2 linked regions of the Rhinolophus ferrumequinum genome follow. The protein of the gene in region 2 purifies or fractionates together with the protein of the main gene of each other region. This does not show direct contact. Links are inferred from orthologs where the notes say so. Each region holds a gene or a part of one and is shown on either strand. Other genes may lie near its edges.

What was found. The genes of interacting proteins can lie anywhere in the genome.
Region 1: the proteins of DUSP9 (region 2) and MAPK11 purify together in Homo sapiens (affinity purification with mass spectrometry; 4 studies listed by BioGRID and IntAct, with this or other methods). This does not show direct contact. The link is inferred for Rhinolophus ferrumequinum from reciprocal best matches to the Homo sapiens genes DUSP9 and MAPK11.

What each region holds. Positions count from the first base shown.
Region 1 is NC_046293.1:431,486-438,564, reverse strand, and holds the start of MAPK11 (mitogen-activated protein kinase 11), read right to left. Parts: upstream 3,012-7,079; 5' UTR 2,657-3,011; coding exon 2,541-2,656; intron 192-2,540; coding exon 62-191; intron 1-61. UniProt on the Homo sapiens protein: Serine/threonine kinase which acts as an essential component of the MAP kinase signal transduction pathway.
Region 2 is NC_046284.1:6,765,748-6,772,863, reverse strand, and holds the start of DUSP9 (dual specificity protein phosphatase 9), read left to right. Parts: upstream 1-4,049; 5' UTR 4,050-4,215; exon of another isoform or gene 4,216-4,225; intron 4,226-7,116. UniProt on the Homo sapiens protein: Inactivates MAP kinases. Has a specificity for the ERK family.

The DNA of each region.
Region 1 (7,079 bases), on a different chromosome or scaffold from region 2:
CGTCAGGAGGGCGACCCGGCCCAGGCCCGCCGGCGCGCCACCGCGGGGAGTCCCAGCTCACATTCTCGTGCTTCAGGTGTTTGAGCAGCCGCAGCTCCCGGTACGTCCTCCGAGCGTGGATCAGTGACTGGAAGGGGCGCGACAGCTTCTTCACCGCCACCTTCTGGCGCAGCCGCGCGTCGTAGGCCGAGCTGCAAGGGCGTGGGTGAGGCGGCCGGCGAGGGCCTTGCGCTCACAGACACCCCCCGCCGCCACTCCTCTGCGGGGATGGCACCGCTAACCCACCCCTGCTCGCCCGCCGCTTTCCTCCCTCGGCCCGTTTGCTCCAGAGGATCTCTCGGGGCTGTACCGCCATCCGTGTGCTGCCGCAGGGTCCCAGGGATGAGAATGTGACCTGCTCGGCCTCTGAGCCTCCTTCCTCAAGAGGCAACTCCCCCTCCACGGCACCCGTACACGCAGGCCTTCCCAGCCTGCCCACCAGAGAGCCCCAGAGCAGGACTGGATCTTTTGTCCCCTCACCCCCACGACTCTCACGCCCAACTCAGCGAGGCTGGGAGAGCAAAGTGTCCACTGACCAGGGTGGAAATAACACACCAGAAAAACAGCTACTGGCTATTCCCACAGCAAACAGTCCCCCTCCCCCATGGGCTGTGGGTCTGGAGGCTCCCTGAAGGTTTCAGAGCTGCCTCCAAAGCCTCTGGATACGCAAAATAGGGAGGAAAAACTGGCATTATTACTTGCAACAGTGAGCAACCCGACAGAAGGAAATGTCTAGCCGAAGGTGGTATTTGCATCCACAGATCTTCCGTGGCTCAACCCGTCCTCAGAGGTCCAGACCCTCCACCTGCACACCCATCTCCTCTTCATGGGGAGACACAACAGTCACTGGCATCACCCCCCCCCTTGACGCCCACTGTGCCCAGGACAGGGCCCTGCTGAAGGCGACTAGCTCCACAGGCCGCTCCCTCTAACTGCTGCGCCTCCCTGACTCTTCACCTCCTGCCTCAGGACCTTGCGGAGTCCACACAGTCCCACCAGCAGCTCCTGCAGAACCAGGTGGTGGGGGGAGGAGAAGCCAGGTAGGCTCCTGGAGCATCTGTGCCCCTCCTCCTAGCCTGTGACCTGCTGGGGAAGGTTCAAGTCACTCCTGGGGTGGGAAGTAGGGGTGGGCCCCTCAGGTGGGGCAGCAGATCCTTTGGCCTCATTGTGTCTGTGCAGTGGAACCACAGGGAGTTGGCCCTGGGGGGACAGCTTCATCAGAGGAACAAGGGAGCCCAGGAGAGGGCTGTCACCGGCACTGGGCCTCATCAAGCTAAGTGCAGTGGAGAGAGACCTGGGCCTCCCTTGGGAGCTTGACACTCAAGAGGAATTCCCAGAAGGTGACTCTGGGCCAGAGGCAATTCCAGCGAGGGCTCGGTCAGATTCCCCAGGGGCCATTCACACTTTGTCCCTGACCCTCTTGCCCTTGCCATCTTAGAGATAAGACAGAGGCTGTGGCTAAAATGGCCTGCCTGAGGCTCCTGACAGCGTTGACAGCGTGAGATCAGAGACCATGGGGAACCCAAACCCCTCCTCCAGAGTCCAACACTGGGTCTCAGGTTCGGGTCCACTGGAAATCCCATTCTTTACCTTCCAGATCCTGGAGCAATGCCAGCCCCTCGAGGGCCCCTGCCTCCTCACCGCATGACCCCTGCAGTGGACAGCAGTCACCTGCTACTGGCATGGGTAAGGACCCCACTGAGTGCTGAGGGGGACACCTCTCAACATCCACACCCACGATCAGCTTCACTTTTAACATTACAAGTGACGCCGGGACTGCCTGCAACCACCTCACTCACCCTAAGCCCCCTGAAGCTTCCCCACCCTCCAGGGTAAAAGACCTCAGCGCTCGAACCCTCCGTCTCCCTTCCAGGCTCTGTCCTCTCTCTGGGCCCCAGGACCTAACTGTGGGGCTGTGGTCTTGAGCTCTTTTGGTTGGGACAAAAACAGGGTGGGGTGTACCCCTAAGGATTGTAGGGGTAGTGGCAGACGTCTCTGCTCAGGCCTAAGCCCCATCCAGACTCTTTTGCAAGACTGGGGAAGGGGCAGGACCCACGGGAAAGCCTGAGGCCATCCTAAGGGGAGGGGTCTTGCCCTCTCCCTAGCTGGGCTCTTTTACAAACCAAAGTACCCGCCCTAGGGCGGGGGCATCTGCCAGATCTCTGGGCTGCCAGAGCCTAAACGGGGCGACCCAGATGCGTGCTCGGACGTCTATGGTCCAGGAGACCCGCCCTTTCGCCGGCTGTGACGCCGCAGGATTCTGGCCTGGTGGGGGTCACTCTGGCTCAGAAGGAGCGGGAGACGACCCCTCTTCCCCCCCCGGAGCCGCGTCTGGAAAGTTTCCTTCCCGTCTCCCACCCCCCATTCATTCCCCAGATCCGCGCAGGGCCTGGGGCGGAGGCAGGGCGAGGCCCCTCCCCACTCAGGGAACCCCCGCCGGGCGGGGAGAGGGTGGTGGCGCGCGCTCAGTCCCTCCCCTGCCCCCCCCGCCCCGCCCCTACCAGACGGAACCGTAGGCGCCCGAGCCCACCGGGCGCAGCCCCTGTAGCCGCTGCGGCACCTCCCACACGGTCTTGTTCAGCTCCTGCCGGTAGAAGCCTGCGCGCGGACCCGACATGTCCGTCCGCGCCCCCCGCCGCACCGGAGCGCGAGCCGAACGCACGGAGGGCGGTGCGCGGGGCGGGGCTTCGAGGGGGTTCCCGGAGACAAGGCGGCTTCCTGCCCCTCCGAGGCACTGCTGAGCGGAAACCGGCACTCCTCCCGTCTCCCTGGGGCGGTCCCGGGGAGGATGGGCCTCCGCCGGGGGGAGGGGGAGGCCAGGATCCGACTTACAGCCCCTCCCGCTTATACCTCCTGGGGTCCATGCACCTCTCCAAATACCCGCCCGGGAGCCGCTGATCCAGGCCGCCACCGCCTCGCACCGCGCTCGGCTTCCCGCACCCTTCCAGCCCACACCAGCGCCGGCACCTCCCTTCTCCCCACCTCGGGTCCTGCACCCCGTCCCTCCCTGCTCCGGTGCGACACTTACAACTACTCCCTTCGCCTGCTCGGGTCCACGCGTTCCCCCTCCCCACACACCTGCTGCCGGGCCCTGCACCCCCGCCACCAGCTGCTTCCTCAGAAATGAAGTAGAACACTCAAAATCAAAGAAGCCAGGGCGAACCCTGGGAGACATTTCTCATCAACATAGAAAACACCGCCTAATAACAGCGAGGCACTGGGTTGAATCCGCCCCTCTGCGGTGGGCAGATGGCGCCTCGGTTCCTGGGCCAGCCTGGCCCCTCCCCGTGGAGGCCATTCTGGCTTGGGCGGTGAGGCTTGCCTCCGGGCAGACCTTCCTCTGACGTCGGCCGCCCAGCGCCTCTAGGGGAAACTGCGAGGCCTGTCAGGACCAGGGACAGCGGCGGCGCCCGGGGACCCTCCAGGGTGTTGTCCCCATAAGAAGCTTTCCCCAAATGGGTCTTCTTTGGTGCCTGGTACCTTTCCTCCTTCTGAAACAGCCCCGTCAACTGTCACCTCTTCCAGGAAGCCCACTTTGACTTTCCCAGGTATCGGGGAGCCCCTGTAGTTGGCAACCAACTGCAGTTCCCAGGGGCTGCGAACTCCTGCAACGCACTTTGCTTGAACGGTTCAGTTCTCACAGGCTAATAGGGTGCTCCCCTGTGCCAGCAGGATAGTCTCGCTCTCTGCCCAGCGCTCTGGGCCGGCGCATCTGCTTGTCTTTCCCCCTCCAGTGACTAGGGCTCGGAGGAAAGGACTCCCCTTGGATAAACGCCTCCTGACCCCCGCCCAGGCAGTGGCTGGGCTGCCCTTCCCAGGAAAGCCGGAAATTAGGCTCCTGAGTTGGGCAACCTTCTGCTTTTTCGAAACAAACTAAAACCTGAGTGTTGTTGTTTTAAGGAGGGCGCAGCTCACACTGGCCCATACGGGGATCGAACCGGCAACCTGGGTGTTATCAGCACCTCGCTCTAACTAACTGAGCTAACTGGCCACCCCAGTTATGGAACTCTCCTGATTTTTAAATATTGGCAACCAAATGAAAATAAAATACGTCAACGCAGAACCGGGCAAACAGACATGTCTGCTGGCGAATCCGGACTCCGGGGATTCGAGAAGTGAGAAAGGAAACGGTTTGAGTCCCAGCCACGCCCGCCACCCGAGCCACCGGCCCTCACTTCCCCCCCCCCCCCCCCCCGGGAGGCGGTATCCCTCCCCTCGCCACCCGCTCCGGGCCTCCTCCAGGGCCCCGCCCTGGGCTCCTTTCTCCGGTGGCCGAGGTTTTGTGCGGAGTTAATGGGGCTTCAGCTAAAGCCGAGGGCTGGGCGGGAGCTGAGCCGGGCTGTGGGAACCGGGCTGTGGGGCCCCGGGAAGGCCTGGCCTTTGTCTGCGCGGACCCGCGGGCTAGAGCGAATTCCCATGGCGACCGGCCGGGTCGCTGCGCGGAAGCTGGGCAACCCCGTGCTCTCCCCAGGGGTGGGGGAGTCCGCCTGCTCAAGGAAGCCCATGCCGGACCTTGCCCACCGCTCCCCCGGAATCCCGGTGGTGAGTGGTCAGAGCTGACCAGAGAGGAGCGGCTTCCCTGCCGGGCTCAGTGGATCATGCAGAGTGGGGACACTCACTGAGCAGCCCCACCACGTTGTCTTCTGGGGAGGGTCCGGGTTGTAACACTGCAGGGGAACGGCTAGGGAGAGTTTCCGGTGGGGGTGACGGCAGGCAGAGTAGGGCAGGTCGGGAAACCCGCTGGAGAGGGGACACTAGCAGAGCTGGGCCCGGCATCAAGAGAGCCCTGACTCTCAAGGACTTAAGGAACAGAAAGATGGGTGGCCCTGGGCAGAGGCCTGTGGCAGGCTGGTGGGGGAGGAGCACAGCCCGGATTTCCGACTTTTGACATCAGGGTGATGGGAAGTCTGCTGCATATTTTCCTAGCATCCCCCAGGCCACCACGTCAAGGTTGCCACCTCTGGGTGAGAGCACTGGACCTGGAGCAGCGGGTGGTGTGGGGCTGGGACAGCAGCTGGGAATGTGGTAAGATGGGGTGTGTTCACCTGGGGGACAGGGGGCTGAACAGAAGGGCCGCCTACCCAGGCCTGGCCTGTTCTCTCCACCCTGTGACTCATTGTCACCCCTAAATATCTAGAGCCCAGCTCTTCTCTCCACGTCCACTCATCCCTCCTCTGGTCCAGGCCACCGCCTTTTCAGCCCCTTGCTGGGCTAGCTGCACTTCTCCCAGAGGTCACAATAAACTTCTTAAAATGCCATTCTGGCTGGGGTGGGGGGGTAGGGTTCGGGCTCTTAAGCCAGGGGGTGGTGCCTGCAACTTGGAAGTAAAAGTCCAGGGATTCCGGCGGCCCCCTCCCATCACTGTCTCTCCCCACTCCCTCTACCTTGGAGAAAATGTAAGTGGAAAGCAAGAGGTCTGTCAGCATCCTGACCACTCAAGGCTGGCCTGCCCTTCCCATGCACCCCAACATCCAAGCCCGGTATCTACCCTTCACCAGCCCCACGGAAGGCCGGCCCTGGAGCATTCACACTCCTGTCCTCCAAGGCGGGCACCCCACCTGATGGACCTGCGGCCCTTCCCCTATCTCCACGCTTCAGAGCGGAAGAGGGTCTCACTGACTTCCTCATCTTCTTGCCTGGTTGTTGGGAGTGTGGAGGGTGGGAGGGCAGAAGTGGCCCACACAGGTCCAGTCTAAAAGCCAGGCCTCAATGCCCCCTGCCAGGCTCAGCACTTCCTCCTAACTCTGATTTAGCAGTAACTTGTTCAGATTTCCTGACTAGCTGTGACTCTGGGAAGCGGGGAGCCTAGTGTGCCCATAGCAGTGTCATTTCAGGGGTCCCTGGGCAGGGGCTGTCAGTTGTTTGCCTAGTACCCCTTCCTTGTGGGAGATACCCACCCTCGTTCCATGGGGCTTGAACGGGGCGCCCCCATGCATAGTGGCTCATGGTCAAGTCCTAGCCCAATGGGAGTCTCCAGTTATGTGCCCCGAGGGGAAGAGTCACAGGCTGGGGCTGCCTGCCACCAGCATCTCTGCTGCCCAAGGATAAACCCACATGAATTGGGAAGCAGTTCAGATGGCTGGGACCCAGACATGTGAGCACCTGGATCCAGCCATACCTGCAGCTGCACCACCTCCACTTCCTCATTCTGGAGCCGCCAAATCCCCTTTCTGCGTAGGCTGGTACTCTTGGGGCACAGGGGCTCCCCCAGAGCTGGCTGTGTCTGTCCCATTTACTGCTGTGTCCCTAGTGCCCAGGACAGTGCATGCAGCCTAAGGGGATGGACGCACAGATGCTGTGCACTCACCTGCACACACACGTGCCTGGTGGCTGCAGGTGGCACAGCTCAGAGGCCCTGCCCTGTGCAGGACATGACTGGGAGCTCCCCCGACTCTGGCATCAGCAAAGGTGCCAATTGCTCTCCCACACAGGGCCCTTGAGCCCTACTGATGCCCTGAGTCATCCTGGGTGGTTCAGGGGACAGAGGAGAAAACCCCCTAATGGCCCCACTGCCTCAAACAGGGGGACACCGGGCTGTCTACCCCAGAGCCAGCCGTGTCTGGTGGGGTCTGCATACAGTAAGGTAAGGGCTTACTAAATGTGTACTGGGGGGACCCTCACCTCAGAAAGAAACAGTCCCCGAGAACTCAAGGTCCAGATGGTAGGCTGATACCATGCCCACCCCTAGCCCCATGGCTCCTAGTGGCCCAGCCCAAAGGGGGTTGGGGGATGTGTTGGCCACCAGAAGGTGTCCGGCCAGCCCAATCCCCCAACTTCCTTGCCTGGTAGGGCTGCCTCCTTGTACCTCTCTGGAACCACAGTCCTTTCTGGGATCTCTTTTGGGCCTGAGCTGCCCCCAGCCCCTCCCATACCCGAGGCTTCATCTGCCAACACTTGACCATCCTGGTCTCTGGGGCGGCAGAGCAGGGAAGGTGTGGACTCAGTCAGCTGGTGGGCATTAGCCTCTGCACAACCCCCAGGCCTGGCCCAGAGTAGTCAGGGAGGTGGGCGGTGTGAAGCCCACAGGCTCACCTGAGGGT
Region 2 (7,116 bases):
TCCCTCCTGCCTTCATTTATTTCAGTCACTGTGAGAAACTCACTAGGGCTTCCAGGTCCAGGGCTGGCGGCAAAGAGATGGTCCCAGACCAGACCAGGGGGTGATGGCTCCAGGGGTGCCAGGAGAGATGCAGAGAGGTGCTGGTGCACCCTGACCCCGGGACAGTACGTGACACAGCCTGGCTTTGGGCCTTGGTCTGGGTGCAAGGAACCAAAGGAGGCCCAGGCTGGGCCTTGCAGTGTTGGGAGGGGCCAGAGGAGTGGTGGGGGGATGCAGCCAGACAGGGTCCTTAGTACTGTGACAGAGCGGGAGCAGACCCTTGAGGAACAAGGTAAGAAAAACCCAAAGCATCCCCAGAAGCCCCCTCCCCCCTCCTCTCGCAGACATCTGAGCCAGTGCAAGGGGTCAGAATGAGCCCCAGCCTGCGCTGGACTCACTGCCTGTTTCATATATTATCTTCTTTCCCGTGATGAGATGGCCTCACTCGAGAGGCACATTCCTGGAGGTGGGGGGGGGGGGAATGAGAGATGTTGCCAGAAAGGCAGGTAAGCCACTCATAGAGGTCTTCCTCAAAGTGACTGGCGGGTCGCAGCAGTTTGGTCCTTCCACCCTCAGTGGCTCCCCTCTCTCCTGGCCCCATTCAGCCCTCAACTTCCCTTGAACAAGCCAGGAAGTCATCTGCTTCCCTCTCTCCTACCCTTCCACCGAGTGGGGGCTGGAAGGGCTCCCAACTCTCCCCCCTCTTCCCTCTCACCTCCTTTTGCCTGTCCAGCCAATGGGTGTGGGCGTCTGGCTCTCTCCCAGCACAAGGATTATATCATCTGTAATGTATATCCAGACACACACGCCGCTGCTTGGGAGGACAGGAGAAGGGGAAGGAGCCAACACAGCTGGCCGGAGGGGGTTTATAACCAGGTTATTGAACCTGAACCTGAGCCCTCCCGGAATGGGGGTGTTAATGGCTCCTGAGAACCTGGCCCCTCAGAAATCAATCTCAGCACAGGCGGGCTCTCTCGAACTCCCCTCCCTCCTGCTCTAGCCTGGGGCTGCCTCACCCTTTCACCTCAGCTGCAAGTGCAGATCTGGGAGCCGTCACCAGGGCCATTTGATTTCAAATGTCCGGATGTAGCCCCACTGGGAACTGCAGCAAACAGGTTGGGTGCCCTGGAACAGGGTCTAGAATGTGCTTCTGAAGGTATGGCAACTGGTATCACGTCTAGAAGATGCTGGCTAAGGTGCCTCTGATGGGGGAGGAGAGACTGAAGCCTGTTATCCAGTGGTGGCCTGGGGGGAGCGGTTGTCAGGTGAGCAAATGGCTTCAGCTGTAGGTATTGCTCTCAGTAGGACCAAATGGTTGCCCAGAAATAAAGCCTTGTGCATGTACCCAAGTGCCAGCGTCCCTCAGATGGGAGCAGGGTCTCTAAGCAGGGGCCAGATGGGGTGGGCCTCTCCTCAAACCTCCACTTACTTGTAAAGTAGCCCAGAATTGAGACCTGGAAAAGGTGAACAGAGCAGGTACAGGTGCCTTCAGCCAAAGGCCCAGTCTGTCAAAGCAGGGCCAGCAATACGCATGGCCAGGCTGAAGACCTCTCCATCCCAAGCAAGGCCCAGCTTTCTGCCCCTCCACCTTGCCAAGGGCCGGCAGTTCCTGGTCCCCCGCTGAGAGCCTTGGGCTTCTGGTGAGAAAAGGGGCATGGCCAGAGAGGAGAGAGTGAGGGCTAGAGCTGCCCAGTCACCCCACCCTCAGATAGGACCTGAACACACGGGCGTGGCTTCCAAGATGGAGGCCAGCTGTGCCTTTAGAACAACCTGGATTCCGACATGGTTGGCTTCGTACTCAAGTCCTCTTCAAGAACATTCTCCATTTTATTCTTCAACAGGGCACAGGCCAGGCCTTGCTGGCCAAGACAGGTCTCCGGGGGTGAGGAGGGAGGTCCCATTTTCTGAGGCAGAGCAGGCCTGTGCCTTCAGAGCTCCTGGGCCTGGCCTGGCCATTGTATTAGCCTTCTTCTCTTCCAGTCTGGTGAGTCTTGTTGCCTGGAGAGCACAGGCACTGTGGGAGGGTAGGATGGGTGTTTTGCAGGGGTGGGGGGCACCATCAATCAATCCAAATGTTCCTCCTCCAGCCCTTCAGCCCTGAGTCACTAAAGCGCAGGATGGGGGGGAGGGAGGGAGTTGGTTATCCAATCTTTCCAGAAACTTCTCTGTGAGTCAGCTCACCAAGCCTTTGCCAGGGGCCAACTGAGTGCCCAGGCCATGGGCACAGCCACCATGGTCTTCCCCAAATGGGAGGACCACCAACGGGTGACAGCTGGCCCCATCTTTTTCAGTCTCCATGTATTTTCATGTTTTGGCTGACAAAATGGCCCTATTGCTATATGGCACAGAGTTTAGCGTATGTTGATTTCTTAGCAAAGGCCCCTAAATTTCAGGACAACCGGCAGGGCTATCAGAGAAGCACAGCGTCCAGCGGGAGGTCCTGCACACAGTTCTGTCTGCTCACCCATGTGGTGGAGGTTGCACAGTTCTGCTCCACACTGGATCCCTAATGCTGAAGGAAAGGAGAAAGGACAGCCCAGCCCCAGGAAGCACCCTGGGCCTGCCTGGCAGATGCACCTACCAGCAGGTGCAGCCCAGAAAGGGCCTGAGTGGTCATCTGCTGAGGCTGGAAGGGGCCAAAGGGCAGGGCGGGCATGCAGCCTGGTGGCAGCAGGACCCTGTCCCAGCTCACACATAATGGATTAAAACCGCCCTGAAGCTAGGAGGGCCCTTGGAAATCAAGAGGTCCTCCTTTCTACCCAAATGTACAGATGAGGAAACTGAGGCACCAAAGACAAAGCTGTCTGCCTCCTCTCTCTTCCAGAGGTAATGACTCAGGGGAATTCAGCACTGTCGCAGACATGAGCCAGGCGGCCAGGCCTCCCTTGGCTGCCCCTCATCCATGGAGTGGCTGGCATCCCAGTTCTGCCAGCCTCCTTAAAGATGTCATCCCATCCTGTCCTTGCCTCATTCTGATCTCCCTGGGCTGAGAAGGGAACCCCCTGCCAGAAGCCAGCCCACAGCCTCATGCTGGTTCTCAGCATCCCTCATGTCTCGTTCCAGGGCTGAGCCCCAGCTCACCTGACTACTGGCCTGGGAGCCCCTGTGTGCTCCCCCCTGCCTCCCTCCCTGCCTCCCCCTCCCCACAGCGGTGAGCAATCTGGGAACCGGTGGGCCTTCTTGTTCACACTCAGCTGAGGCTTGGGGAACTCAGCCCATCTCAGCCCACTGGGGCTCTGCCACGACATTATTGCCTGACCACCAGGAAACCACTGCCTTGGTTTCCTTAGCTATGGCATGGGAATAGTCTCCTCTGACTCCCAGACTGGTGCAAAAGCAAAAGGAGTTCCTTGATGGGGGATGCCTGTGGCCTTCCGTGCAGAGGAAAGCACACTGGGCCTCCTGACAACACCCCCTTCCAACCCCTCCCCCAAAGTCCTGGCTCCACCCCTTCCAGGCACCGAAGCTCAAGCGATATTACTATTAGCCAGAATCTGATACGTGAGATTGGGAGAGGACAGTGCAGGGGAGCCTGAGGGTTGGGGGCGCTTGCAGTGTAGTCAGCTGGACCTTAAGCCCTCACCCCTGCGGCTGCAGGAAGTGGCCCTGGTGGCCAATCTGTGCCCGGTCCTCGATGGGCCCCTTCAGTTCTCTTGCAGAAAGCAGGGGTGCCAGTGGAGACTCTTCGGTGCAACCCTCCCCCAGCCTAGGCCCAGGCCTAGGTCAGGGCACCCCACCCCATTCCTGTTCCCCAAGCTCGTGGCCCCCACGCAGCAGGGCTGTTGGGGGGCATCCAGACAGGGGCCTGGGTGGGCAGAGCGAGCAAAGGCTTTCAGGTGGGTGGAAGGCGGGCAGGGGCGGGGGAGGTGGAGGGAGACGCCGGGCAGGCTGCGGCCCCTCCCCGCTCCCTCCCTGCGCGCCGCCGGCGACGGTGCCCCTCCTGGGCAGGGGGCGGAGAAGACGGCGACGGGAGGGGAGGAGGCGGCGGCGGAGGCGGGATTTGGAGTTTCCCTCCGCTGCGGCGGCGGCGGCAGCCCCTCGGCTCTAGGCGAGGCCGCCGCCCGAGGCTCCGGTGGCGGTCGGCGGCAGTGGCGGTGGCGCTTCCCGCCGCCCCGGCTTTGGAAACTTCCCGGCCGCCACGCGCGGAGCCGGCGCAGGAAGCCGAGCGGAACGGAGGTGAGCAGAGGTGAGCGGAGCACGCGGCGCCAGAGCACCCACCCCCACCCCACCCCACCCCCACCCCCACCCGGCCTGGCCGCCCTCCGACGTGCGCTCCTCCACCCTGCACCCCCAAAGTCTTGCCAACGCACACCCCACGGGGCCGACGCACGCGCCCCTGTGAGACACACTCGGTCCTGCCACCGCACACCCCCTGCATCCCGACCGTTGCACCTCCGGTGTCGTCCACCACGCACACCCCCTGCCACTTACACTCCCGAACACAAACCGTGCACCGTGGACCCAGGTCCCTGCAGTGCAAATCCCAGTAGCCCGGAACCCACCACTGTCCCCAACTCAGGCCAGCACCCATCACAGACCCTGCCACGCCTCAGTACACACCCCGGTTCACACATACTCCCAATACATCCCTGCACTCTCAGCACTAACCTAGCTCCCCTCGGTGCCCCCACCATCTCCGACTCCCCATATGCTCATTACAGACACCCCACCCACGTTCCCAGCCCAGAGACATTGCAATCCACCCACCCCCAAGCGAAGCCCCAACACTACCCCACACCACAGAGGCTGACACTCCCCAGCTCGCACTCTCAGGCACCCCAACATGTATGCACACCTGCTGGATCCTCTCTCTCCAGCACCCAGCCCCGCCCCCATCGCAAATAGCCTTCAACAGCCCCCAGAACATCCCCGAGTCCCTCCCACCAGCACCCCCAACACCTGGCACGCGGGCTCTAGAGGCTGCAGCATTTGGTGACATCCCTGCCAGGCGCCTCTGGCTCGCCTTGGGCAGCAGCTTGCCATCCTGAGGGGCCCCAGGTGCCTCCCTAAACAGACCTTGAGTCTCCCCAGCGACTGGCTTGGTCTCTTCCCTAAGATAAAGAAGGCACTTAGGGCACAAGGTACCGTACTTAGATGTCGGGGCACCGGGAGTGGGGGTGAGGAGGAGGCAGAGAGGCAGGCACTTAGATGGAGGCGGCAGCACATAGTAGGTCGGTGCCACGAGGACAGGAGTTCACCCAGTGTGTGTGCCAGTCTGCGTGTGTGTTGGGAGGAGAGCTGTGTGTGCACGTGTGCTTGTGCATGTCTGGGGGGAGTGTGTGACCCGCTGAGAGAAAAAGCAGGAGCAGCACCCTCATGGGCTCCCTCGTGCAACAATTGGTTTCATTCATTCATGCCTTCTTTGTTAACGAGCATTTCTTCCGTGAGCGCCCGGCTGGTGCCAGGCCCTGCACTGGGAGCTGAGGCCAGCTTGGGGCCGGGCACACACCCGCTCCTGCCTTGGAGGAACTCCCAGTCCCGCGAGGAGACCGACCAGGAAAAGCAGAAAGCCATCCCCAGCAGAAAGTGGATTTGGTGGAAAAGACACTGGATTTGGCAGGAACGCTGTCGCTGGGAGTTGTGCTCCCGACCATGTGACCTGGCCGCGACAGCCGAAATCCTGCCACTCGGCCCGGCGGGAACCGTGCATTTTGGAATGGGGGGGATGGAGGGAGAGGCGGGGCGCCCCTCTCCGAAGGCTCTGGGGACCAGAGGGCGCACGCGGCGCGCACCGGGCCTAACGGCGGCAACGTCCCCGTGTCCTCCCAGGGGCAGTGGCCTGGCCCAGCGGAAGCCAGGGGTGCCCTGCGTGGGCTGGGGCTGCGGGCGCAGCGCCCACCCTGCGGCGAGCGCGCGGCCTGGCTCCGCCCGCCGGAGGGAGCCTGGTGAGGCCCCAGCGCGCAGCCCGCCTTCCCCTCCCCAGCCCGCCCGGGAGTCGGGTGCGGGGAGGGGCCGGCGCCCCGAGCAGGCGCTGCCGAGGCCCGAGTGCGGAGCGGGCCTGGCGAGGGTCGGGGGAGGGGGCCTTGGCTGCGTTCAGCCCTGCAGTGCGGAGGTGGCAACAGGTTCCAGTTTGTACTGCTGCTAGCGCAGCGGGCGCTGCTGGCGCTGGGCACAGAACACTCGCTTTCCCCGCTGGAGGGCTTGCCAGCAGGGTTGGGAGAAAGGTGCAGGGGAGCCACTTTTCAGGCGTCGGGAGGCGAGGCCCGCACAACCCCACCCCGGAGGGGGGGGGGTTTCTTGGAGCCTAGCTTCCTCTCCCTTCACCACTGTAGAAGTTGCCTCCCTCCGCATCCTCATCTTCCCAGCCAGGCTCCCATCACCTCCTCCAGGAAGTCCTCTCCAGATAGCATGCCTGGGCCCCTGTGGAGTACCTACCTCCCTTGGGGTTGGTGGCCCTCTCTCCAACTATACTGAGCCCCCATTATATAGTGGGTAGGGGCATGTGTCTCTCCACTTCCCTATCAGACGGACTTTGCCACCCTCAGTGCCTACAACCTGGCCAAGCCAGGCACCCCAGGCTGGCACATTACAGATCACTTTAGTGCCTTCAACCCCTGGCCACTCCAGGGTCCCACTCACAGCTGCAGCAGGCCTGGAGGGAATCCCCAGGCTTGGGGCGCATGGCCAGGTGGCTGCCCACCTCTGCCTCTGGGAGTGAGGATGGAGGTATAGGAGACACTGGAAGACAGAGTCTCTGCCCCAGAGTACTCAGGACAGGGAAGTGGGCCCCACTTCCTCCCAAACTGCAGCTCTTGGGCATTGCAGTCTCAGAGAGCTGAGGTCTGGAGCGCAGAGGAGGGAGACAACAAGCTGGCCCAGGAGAGAAAGGCTGCCTGGAGGAGGGCACCTTGAGGGGGCCTGAAGGAGCAGTCTGGACAGGCTGCAGAGTAGGGAGGCCTGGCCTGGGCATAAAGGGGCACATACCAGCTGCCTCAGGCCCCTGGATGCTGGTGGTGGGACTCATCCCAGAGGCCAGGACGTAGTGGGCTATGGCCAGAGATGAAACCCAGGCTGGTGACCCACTGGGTCAGGGAGGGAGGGATGGGGTGAATGGAGGCCCCTTGAGGTAGCCTGGCT